Xenopus tropicalis: one gene and its partners. The protein of the gene in region 2 binds, or shares a complex with, the protein of the main gene of each other region. Links are inferred from orthologs where the notes say so. Each region holds a gene or a part of one and is shown on either strand. Other genes may lie near its edges. The genes, in order: lsm6, txnl4a and prpf31.

Evidence for each region.
Region 1: txnl4a (region 2) and lsm6 share a complex: the UniProt entries of both Homo sapiens proteins name them as parts of the precatalytic spliceosome. The link is inferred for Xenopus tropicalis from reciprocal best matches to the Homo sapiens genes TXNL4A and LSM6.
Region 3: txnl4a (region 2) and prpf31 share a complex: the UniProt entries of both Homo sapiens proteins name them as parts of the U4/U6-U5 tri-snRNP complex. The link is inferred for Xenopus tropicalis from reciprocal best matches to the Homo sapiens genes TXNL4A and PRPF31.

What each region holds. Positions count from the first base shown.
Region 1 is NC_030677.2:58,334,924-58,338,681, reverse strand, and holds the start of lsm6 (U6 snRNA-associated Sm-like protein LSm6), read left to right. Parts: upstream 1-1,257; 5' UTR 1,258-1,344; exon of another isoform or gene 1,345-1,521; intron 1,522-2,928; exon of another isoform or gene 2,929-3,115; intron 3,116-3,709; 5' UTR 3,710-3,724; coding exon 3,725-3,758. UniProt on the Homo sapiens protein: Plays a role in pre-mRNA splicing as component of the U4/U6-U5 tri-snRNP complex that is involved in spliceosome assembly, and as component of the precatalytic spliceosome (spliceosome B complex).
Region 2 is NC_030682.2:96,976,914-96,980,671, forward strand, and holds part of txnl4a (thioredoxin-like protein 4A), read left to right. Parts: intron 1-2,372; coding exon 2,373-2,476; intron 2,477-3,551; coding exon 3,552-3,723; 3' UTR 3,724-3,758. UniProt on the Homo sapiens protein: Plays a role in pre-mRNA splicing as component of the U5 snRNP and U4/U6-U5 tri-snRNP complexes that are involved in spliceosome assembly, and as component of the precatalytic spliceosome (spliceosome B complex).
Region 3 is NC_030683.2:104,952,572-104,956,229, reverse strand, and holds part of prpf31 (U4/U6 small nuclear ribonucleoprotein Prp31), read left to right. Parts: intron 1-1,287; coding exon 1,288-1,348; intron 1,349-2,208; coding exon 2,209-2,292; intron 2,293-2,498; coding exon 2,499-2,596; intron 2,597-3,199; coding exon 3,200-3,306; intron 3,307-3,390; coding exon 3,391-3,560; intron 3,561-3,658. UniProt on the Homo sapiens protein: Involved in pre-mRNA splicing as component of the spliceosome. Required for the assembly of the U4/U5/U6 tri-snRNP complex, one of the building blocks of the spliceosome.

The DNA of each region.
Region 1 (3,758 bases), on a different chromosome or scaffold from region 2:
TTGCATGGGTGGGTTCATGGCAGTTGCAGGGCAGATTCAAGTTCTGGATGTGAAAGCTAGTTACCCAGCAATTACCAAATGAATGAAAACAAAAAAAAAAAAATATTGTATAATTGTTTATAGTTATAAGCAGAGAAGACCTAAACAGCAATAAAGACAGGTATAAAGTGACAATTTAGAGGAGTGAGTGAGCTTCCCCCACACCATGCTTATAAACAATTTGCAGGATTTCCAATTTGGTGTCAGTCACTGGCCTCTTGGTGACTGCACATATATTTCTTAAGGTGCCCACACACCTTCAGATCCGCTCGCTTGGTGATGTCGCCAAGCGAGCAGATCTTCTCCCAATATCCCCCACCTACGTGTGGGCGATATGGGGAGAATCCAGGCTAATTCCCTGGGGCCAAACGATCGCATTATAAAGACGGGTATAGGTGAAGTCGTTCCAGGGACCGCATCAACGAGCTGATACGGTCCCCGATCCAACTAGATTTTTTAACCTGCCCGATCGATATCTGGCCCAATTTCAGGCCAGATATTGGTCGGGCAGGCCCATCGGTAGTGCCCATACACGGGCTGATTAGCTGCTAGAATTGGCCCGTGTACAGGGACCATTAGGTGCCATGACATTCACCACTTTAATAAGGATATTTGCAAATACATGGTGTACAGCAGGTAATGAATCAGTAAAGATTTCAGATGAATAATACCAGGCTCCAATTGAATAATGTCATGCCACACACAGCTTATCAGTATTAGTAATCATTTTTGATGCTAGTGACATTTTGTGTGGCTGATTAAAGTAAACTGACCCTTCAATCAGAAAGGATTATATGGGAAGTTTCAGAAAATCAAAGTAGCTTACCATAAGTAAAGTGCATGTGCCTGTATAAAATAGATACAAAAATAAATATATGTAAAATAAAAATACGTATACATTTGCGTCAACTCAAAGAAATGTATTACGTTTAGCAAGTAAGAGTAATGCTGAATCAGAACACGTTTTTAAAGTTGGAGGCGAGGTTTCTTTACTAGAATGACTTATAATGGCATGGTGCAGGGATTCAAAGCCATGAAACATACAGGATATCCCAGCCATTACTACATACAAGAGGTGCAGAGGAGCCACAGCGCCGCCTCTCGCCCTGATTGGACGCATCATTTCCCGTGTTAACGTCATCGTCCCCTTTTGACCCCCGGTAGGCGGTGCCTCATTCAGGAACCCGATTTACTTCCGTACGGCGCACACGGCTTTCGCTTGTTTTTGGATTGTCCTGAGACGGACACCGTAAAAAGGGGTAGGAAGGAGAGAGGCGGGAGAAAAGGCATCGCACGGGATACAGGGTGAGAATTACAGGGTGGCTTATGGCCGCCTGTAGTATTTGCATTGATGCACACCATCTAGTATGGTTAGTGCTCATTACGTTCAGAGAAAAGTAGGTAACAACAATAATTAACCTAAATGTGTGGCTCCCGCGGTGTCTATGCGAAGCGAATTCTGGGAGTTGTAGTTCATCCCAGGTGTGTGGCCGCTGCATTACATTGGGATTGTATTATGTATTGTTCAGCTATAATGTTTCGAAGTAGATTTGCTACAGGCACCCTTTTCTTGATACATATTTGTATTGCTCCCGGCAGGTGGGTATTGTAATTCCTGAGCAATATACTGATTACCAGCAGGCTGTACTAGAGGGGCTCAGTGCCAAGTACATGAGAGCTCCTCTCACAGGGGCTGTATAGATCTCCCTGCTACATCAGAGGGATGGAGCTTCTTACTTATAGATTTAGAATCATTTGTAAGTTTAAGCCCAGCTACAGTGTGTCAGTGTTGGGCTCTAGCCCTAATGTATGTAAGCCCTAATATATCTATGTTATCAGTGAGCTTTTCCACTTAATATTTTATTCTGGCAGTAACCAACATGCTTGAGGCTGTCACTGACAGATTTCCTCTGCTCTAATTGGCTGATACCAGCATGAGTCACATTTGTATCAGACTGCTGACAGACACCATGGTGGATATGTTTGTACAGGTATGGGATCCTTTATCCGGAGACCCATTATCCAGAAAGCTCCGAATTACGGAAAGCCCCTCTCCCATAGACTCCATTTTAATCAAATAATTCAGATTTTTTAAATTGATTCCCTTTTTCTCTGTAATAATAAAACAGTACCTTGTATTTGATCCCAACTAAGATATAATTAATCCTTATTGGATACAAAACAATCCTATTGGGTTTAATTAATGTTTTATTGTTTTTTTAAGTAGACTTAAGGTATGAAGATCCACGTTACAGAAAGACCCCTTATCCGGAATACCCTTGGTCGCTAGCATTCTGGATAACTGGTCCTATACCTGTAGTAGGAAACGTTTAGGCTGAGGAAGCACAGTATTTCTTAGAAATGATAAGAGACACTGAATAAAAACCTTTGATAAATACAATAATATATCAGGGAATTTGAGGACTGTGGAGTCGGTACATAAATCCTCGGAACAGTAACACAAAAAATGAAAGCATATAAAAGTAATTAAAATATAATGTACTAGTGCCCTACACTGGTAAACATTGTGTGTTTCCTTCAGAAACCCGAATATAGTTTATATAAACAAAGCTGCTGTGTAACCATGGGGGTAGCTGTACAAATTGAAAATAAGAAGAAAAGACACAGGTTACATAGCAGATAACAGATAAATTGTGTAGATTACCATTGTACCATTCTAAAGCGTGCATCTGTTATGTAACCTGTGCCTTTTCTCCTTTTTTCTAGCTTGAATGGCTGCCCCCATGGCTACACAACAGCTTATTTATATAAACTATATAGTCTTACTGAAGCAAACATGAAACTTTTACCAACACAGAAATACCCAATCTTAACCCGCCTGCTCCCAACCCTACCCGACCCAGCTTCTTCCCTTTATTTATAGACCTACTCCCGACCCTCCCCGCAATGACATCACGAAGGGGTGGGGCATGTCGGGCGCGCACCTATAAATTCCCAAGCTGGAATCGGAATATCAGCATTGTTAGGTCTCGGTCATGGAGGCTGACCGGAAGCACTCAACCCGAAGCCCACCCGCGACCCGCAGGTGATGTGCCAAGGTCGGCCTGACCTGCAGGTATTGGGCCAGCCCGCACATCAATAGTGCCCACTCCTTATTCTGCTGTAGACACTGAGGAATACAGAGCCTCCAGTTAGCTGTGATTTAACCCTGTTTTAACTGCTTTGTCTTCTGATTTTTTAGAACACATCTCTTATAGTGCTTTCCTGGCTTTCCTTTTAAAGGCTAGTTAAGACGAAGATATTTCTAACCAACTGCAGGCGAATGGATTGTCATTGCTGTTGGTTAAATTTGGTGGAATAGTTTAATAGAAAACTAAAGTTTAACATTTCTAGCCTGCTTCTTTTAGAGTTTAGTGTTTGTAGAGTTTATATTCTTTAAAATAGGACTTATACTCCACAATGTTTGCTGTGAATTCTGGACCAAAGCGGCAGTCTATTTGTATACCATATCATAGTGCAGATTTGCCAGTTCTAATGCACTAATCTGTGCTGTTAAATCATCAAACTGACAATAATGACCAACTGCAACTGATATAAAAATGCTGGTCTGAAAATGTGAATAATATATAATATCTGTAAAGCACTGAGGAATATGTTGGCACTATATAACAATAAGAGAATTATTTTGTCTTGAAACCTTTCTTTACAGTGAAAGGGAATTAGAATGAGCCTGCGCAAACAAACACCGAGTGACTTCT
Region 2 (3,758 bases):
TTACTTCTGTACAGGCAAACCATTGACTTCCGGTTTTGGAGTCGGGCAAGGAGGAGATGTCGATCGTCGCATAGTGGATTGTGCAGAGGGAAGTTCGTTGTATTTGAAATGACCGGATGCAAAGTTTTGGAAGGTATTTTGTAATAAAGCATTCAAAATAATAAACGGTGTTCAGGATAGGGCAATTATTGGAGCAGGGTAGAATAGATTTTTTACTTAAAAAATACTTTTCCTTTAACAAACAACATATAGCTTTGCAGATTTAAAATTCATCGGGGTTGTCTACTGGATAATACATACAAACTTCAAAAACCTATACAAAATTGTTTGTTTTTATGTAAAAAAAAATAAATACTTAAAAAATAAGTCATAACACCTTAAAGAATCAGTAACACCAAAATTTTAAATCAACAAACATTTCATTTTACTGCATTATTTACTTTTTTGCATCTTGATTTGTTAACTATGCTATTTAAGGGCGGGTTGTCTGTATATTTAATATGGCTGCGGGTAAAGGATCCCTTATCTAGGAACTAGTGATGTGCAGGCTGACCCGGTACTTGTGGGTTGGCCTGGTTTGGGCAGACCTCAGCAAAACATTTGCGGGTGGGTTCAACCCAGACATCACTATTAGAGACCCATTATGAGAATAGCTCCAAATTACAGAAAGGTCATCTCCCATATTCCCATTTGTGATTGTTTAAAATGGTTTCCTTTTTCTCTGTAATAATAAATTAGTAGTTTGTACTTAACTAAGCTAAGGTAACTAAGCTGCATGGATCCATATTAGTGGTAAAACAATCCTATTAGGTTTATTTAATTTTTCAATTTATTTTTAGTAGACTTATAGGGACAGTATACACCTAAAACACTTAAGTTTAAAATGAACACTGTAAGACTGACTGTAACAATGAACACTGACTTGTGTTGAAATTACAGTCTGCTTATTGTTTAAATTAAAAAAAACCTCACATTTTCCTTTTTTTTGTAATTATAAAGCATTAATTTGAAAGTTAAGGTGGCCATACACGAGGCGATTTCGCTCGTTGTGCGATGAACGATTATATCGACAAACGATCGTATGGCGATCGAGTTCCCATACGATATGCCATCCACGGGCAACGATAATTCGGGAAAGATTTTGTCGCATCATTATCGTAAAATACCTACGATCGTACATCTACGTACGATCGATGTCGTTGCTGGCAATCGTGACATGCGCAGAGAACAATCGTTGAAAGACAAATGTCTGACACTCACACCAACTGGCAGATTTTATCGTTAAACGACCAAAATTTTTAAACCTGGCCGATCGATTTTGGGGACGATAATGTCGGCTCGTTTAGTGGGCCGACGATCGTTCGTACACCACCAACTATACGATAACTTAACGATAGCATCGGATCGTTCGGGAATCGGTCGTTTGTAAGTAAAAAATCGGTCCGTGTATGGCCACCTTTAGGCTATTTTCACAGTATTTACCTCCCCACTTACTTTATAAAAAGGCAATTTGTTCCCTGTCTACCATTGAACAAACAAACCCCTCCCTTTTTTAAGTAACTCATTAACAGGGGATTCTCAGTGGACTGAGTTTTTTATATTCTTTATTTCAAGCAGAAATGGGGTACAGAAAGGAAAAAGGGTTAGGTAGGTTAAGATAAATAGTGGACTGAGTTTTATGAGCTCCTCTGAAATTCTGTGGGATCAGGAAATATTAAAATGACACTGGCTTCATATTCTCGTTTAGTTCCAGAAATAACAGAAACCATAGATATTGCTTATTTAAAACAATAGGCAAAAAGTTTGTTCAGCACAAGCCCTAATTGTTGAGCTCATGTTGAAAAGGGGAGTGTGCTGTCCCTTTAAGGCAGTGATCCCCAACCAGTGGTTCGTGAGCAACATGTTGCTCCCCAACCCCTTGGATGTTGCTCCCAGTGGCCTCAAAGAAGGTGCTTATTTTTCAATTCCTCACTTGGAGGCAAGTTTTGGTTGCATAAAAACCAGTTGTACTGCCAAACAGAGCCTCATTTAGGCTGCCAGTCCACAACGGGGCTACCAAATAGCCAATCTTAGCCCCGATTTGGCACCATCATGAACTTTTATGATGCTTGTGTTGCTCCCCAACTCTTACTACATTTGAGTGTGGCTCACGAGTAAAAAAGGTTGGGGATCCCTGCTTTAAGGTATGGTGATCCAAATTACTAAATGATCCCCTATTCAGAAATCATCCGGTACTAAGCATGCTGGATAAACAGAACTACATTTTTCCATAAGATATATGTTTATTGCTAAAACTTAATGCAAATCTATTCTAGAAATATTGTGTGTTGCACTTAAATACATTCATATACTACTTCCATTTTGTTTTGTAGGTTAAAAACTTTGCTGTTATTTATCTTGTGGATATCACAGAAGTTCCAGACTTCAACAAGATGTATGAGTTGTATGACCCTTGTACAGTGATGTTTTTCTTCAGGTGAGATTGCTTGCTTCTTTACACATAGTAATTTCATTTATTGAACTATCTAGGAATATTCTCAGTTGTACTGTCATTTTTAATCTAAGCCCATTTAACGTATATGGTACTGTTTTACTTAGAACAAAACAGAATACATTTGCAGAGGTAATTGGTGTGGCAGTTTCTTTTCTAACATATATATAATCAGAAAAAGAATATGCTGTGTTCACAATCAGATATGAGTGGACTATTGTCTGTATATATGCCAGTAACCTGAAATGTAATTTCATTTATAACTATTTGTTAATATTTTTTAATAAGTTGTTTCAGTTGGTGTATAGACACAAACATTTATTAGCACTAATAAAATGTCTTTCTAAGCTAAGAGAGACAGTTGGTTACATATAAGTGAATTTTAGGGAATCACCCCACCTGGGATATTAAACTACCCAATACCCCTTGGGGAGGTAATCTATAAAAACAAATTTGGTGTATTGGCCAATAATACACATTTGCCAGCCAATGTTTATTTTTTGGTTGAGATCAACCCTGTATGTTCAATGACTGGTGAATGCCAGGATGTCAGTTACTGCCCTCTGGATGGTAGCAGGCCCATACCAGCATTTTCTCCACTGTAGAAGAAAACTCATTAGCTTATTTATAAATGTATTCTACAGGAAACATTTGCAAGAATAAGGAGACAAGAGAATCTGACGTGTAAACCTTTTGCACCATAATGTAGTGCTTTATAGCCATTAGCAGAGTGCATGTGCTGCCCATTAGTGTGAGCAGTGTGCCCCAGTGTGACAGGCTTGTGTTTTCACTAAAATCTGCTCCATGTGTCTGCACCTGGGTTGAAGCTGTGGCTCTGGGTGCCAGCACATGGAAAGGATGTTTGGAGCATAGGGGCTGATTCTTAGCCTGTGTTTATCCGCAGGCCGAGAATCCGCCCCCTGTGGCTGTAGCTTTACGCACGCATTTTTAAAAACATGTACATACAAGCATACAGCCTACAATCAGGGGCATAACTAGATATTTATAACGAGATTCTTTATTTCCAGTCATTGCAATGTATATTTTCTTTTTATACCAGAAATAAGCACATCATGATTGATTTGGGCACTGGAAACAACAACAAGATAAACTGGGCAATGGAAGACAAGCAAGAAATGATTGATATTGTAGAAACAGTTTACAGGGGAGCACGAAAAGGCAGAGGTCTGGTAGTATCTCCAAAGGACTATTCTACCAAGTACAGATACTGATGTGTTTTACGATGTTTCAAGCAGCGTCGGATTTT
Region 3 (3,658 bases), on a different chromosome or scaffold from region 2:
ATTTTTCACCTTATCTCTACCTGGGGCAGCCTAAGGATGGGGCAACTGTATTAAGTTTTTATTTCTGGTGTTCTATCTAAAAAAAAAAACAACTGAACCAAAAAATATCTAATGTTTAACTCTTGAGACATATTAAGAGAATACAGAACTTACAGACCCCTCCTCAAAATACTTTGGTACATTGCTGCAAAAAACAGTGTAGTAGTAAGAAGTGATCTTTTATAGTGCTTAAGTCCATATGAAAGAGGTCTATATGCACAAATAAGCAATTTGTCAAAACATCGTGAGATAAAAAGTAGGAGGATAAATTCACAACCTGTTTCCAATGTATGCGAGACAGGTCTTGGATACCCAGCAAATGGACTAATGCCTTTAATGGTCAATAAGGATACAGCTTGCAAAAACATGCATTCCTTTTTTTTCAGTTGTTTTTTTTTTTTTTTTGTCCACTGATGTCTCTACTATTGGTTTTTCCACCACCGCATTAAGGGTAGGGGTGCTATTTCCTTGCACTCTGATATTCTATGGAAGCATTTTGCAGCAATAGCAAGTATGTATGGGTTAAGTATGTGCCAGCTTTGTACTCAGATGACACAGATCAGATATCTGCCATAGATTCTCTATTGGATCAATATCCGTTCTTTAACTGAGCGTTGTTTCTCCCTCCCCTCATTACATCCTTCTGCTCTACATTAAATATGCAAAGTTTCTTTTGATGAAAATCAGGCCCACAGCAGGATTCTGCCACCAACAAACTTCACTTTAGGTATGGATCATCTTACAGTTGAGGGCTACATTTGTTGGCAAGTTACTAACTTGTAAAACCTATAGCTAATCTGCCTGGAAGAATGGCTGATGAATGGAACAGTGTACAAAACTGGCACCTACTTACCCACAAACACTTATGGGCAGATGTATCAGAATGTGAGATTAGAACTCACCAGAGAAAAATTCACACACTTTCTCTTCATTCCTATGGGATTTTCGTAAGTGCATCTATCAAGTGGTGAACTTTAACTTTCACCTATTAATCTAAAAATCACATAAAAATGAATAGAAAGTGTCTTAATTTTTCTTTGGTGAGCTCTAATCTCTCATTTTGATAAAATTGCCCCTTAGTGCTTTCTGTGCTGCAAAAAGTGGTTCTAACACATATTAATGTGTGGGGTTTTATTTTTTTCTCTGATATATATTTATAAATGAAAACAAAATTTTTAAAATGATGGAGCAAAATGTCTATATAGTCTGTTATAACCACATTGTGAAATAAATGATGCATTTTTTCAGTTTTCAGAAATCCTTTTAAAGATTGACGGATACATCAAAAAGCAACCAAAGGCTTCTGAAGGTATCATTTAAATCATGGCATTAACTCCAAAATTTCAAGCCAGAGTACCTAAAATATCTTCAAATAATTTTCATGTGGACTGTTAATAACAGAGACAAAGAGTTACCAACCGAAAAGGATTGCAATATAAAGAAACTCACATTGTATTGTGCTGTAGAGTGAAAGGCAGCTGCATGAGTTTGTGTGGCTTTAAGGGAAAGATATTATAATAATTCATGTTTTGGTGTGATGTTAATGGTTATTGAATGGGATGACTTATTCTGCCTCACTCATGCCTGAAATTTGAAATATCCATAACCCTGGTATACAAAACAGATTGATGTGGAGGCTAGACTTTAATTGGTATTTTATATTACATGTTTTATTACACATCTTTTCAAAAAAGTGTTCTTCGTTTTTAAATCTAAACTGCAGTTTTCCCAGTTATTAAAAAAGAGATGAATGATGGCAGACTGCAAATTATTGTATATTGCCAGTTCTTCATATAAAAAGGTATAGTTATAAATTGGCACAGTGGTTAATTTCATTACTTTCTCTATGAACTCATTGGTTTGGCATACTGCTGTGTTTCATTAAAGTGACACAAGTAAGAATTCTGGAAAATATAAGCATATTCAGACTAAATATGCCTGTGTTTGTTTTATGATTAGCTTCCCGAGGAGGCGTTTATGTAAATGAATGAATGCTGTTACTCATCGACCTTCCATTTAGCCCAGTGAAATTAGCAATATATGTGATCTATTGATGTAAACTGGTTCAAACAGCAACATTGCATATAGATTCTCAAACAGAAACAAAGCAAGAATGTAGTTTTGACTGCACTGGTAATTTGAATTTTATTCTGTTTCTATTTTTTTTAGTAATGGGCCCTGTTGAAGCTGCTCCAGAGTACAAAGTTATCGTTGATGCTAACAATCTGACTGTGGAGATTGAAAATGAGCTAAGTAAGTGCATCTGACTGTATTCTCCGTGTTGGTAGAAAGTGCAATGTTTCAATAATCTGAGGTGATGATTTAGTAAAATAAGTGCTACATTTATGTACAACCCTTTTGTATAGGAAACTGCAGATACTATGTTAGAACATCTATAGCACTTGTGTACAGTATATATGGGAGTGTACGCTCTTAAAACCTATATTATATCTTCTTAGATATCATTCACAAATTTATTCGGGACAAATATTCCAAGAGGTTTCCTGAGCTGGAGTCCTTAGTTCCTAATGCTTTGGATTATATAAGGACTGTGAAGGTAGGTGATTTGTGTGCATGAGGATACTAAGTGGTTAGTTTGTGTGTCTTTCAGTAAGGGGGATTGTATTTTGTGCATGTGTGTATATAGTTATGGTATAATGGTGATGTCTGGATACACAGTGTGTAGTATAACAGTATGTAGGAACATACACTGAATAGAGAAGGTAATTTGTATAAAGATTTATTAAGCTGGACCCAAACTTTTCTTAAAATGTTAAATGAAAAATGTATGAACCATAAACATATATGGGGTACATGAAGTGACAATAAACTTAGCATTAGGTGACATCAGTAAACTACTTATGGCACCACTTTATGAACTTTCACATTTATTTTTCTTCAGTTTTTAGGTTAGCTTGGGGCCTAACAAAATCATCAGTATTGTGTGGGTTTCCCCTAGGTACTTTGCTTTCTTTTAATACTGCAAAGACATACAAGGAGGGTAATTGGTTCCTGATAAAATTGACCCTACTATGCCTGAAACTTATAGGGACCTTAGACTGGGACTGATGAGAATGTATATTATCTCTGTAAAGTGCTGCTGAATATGTTTACGCTATATAAATATCAAAAATAATAACATCTTATTTGGGTGTTGTAGGAGCTAGGGAACAATCTGGATAAATGCAAAAACAATGAGAATCTTCAGCAAATTCTGACCAATGCAACTATCATGGTTGTAAGTGTGACAGCCTCCACAACTCAGGGGTAAGTTCATATATCTGTTACTATACTATAACTTTTTCAGTGTTTGGGATGAAAATAAGAAGTAAGTTCCTCTGATCTACACAGGCAGCAATTAACAGATGAAGAACTGGAACGAATTGAAGAAGCGTGTGATATGGCGCTAGAACTCAACCAATCCAAACACAGAATTTATGAGTATGTGGAATCTCGTATGTCATTCATTGCTCCTAACCTCTCCATCATTGTCGGGGCCTCCACTGCTGCCAAGATCATGGGTAAAGTGTCATAGTGTTTGTTTTTATTTTAGCCAAGATTGTTTTATATCTTCACTCTTCTGCACAAAAAAATCTGTTCTGTAAACCATTGGCAGAAC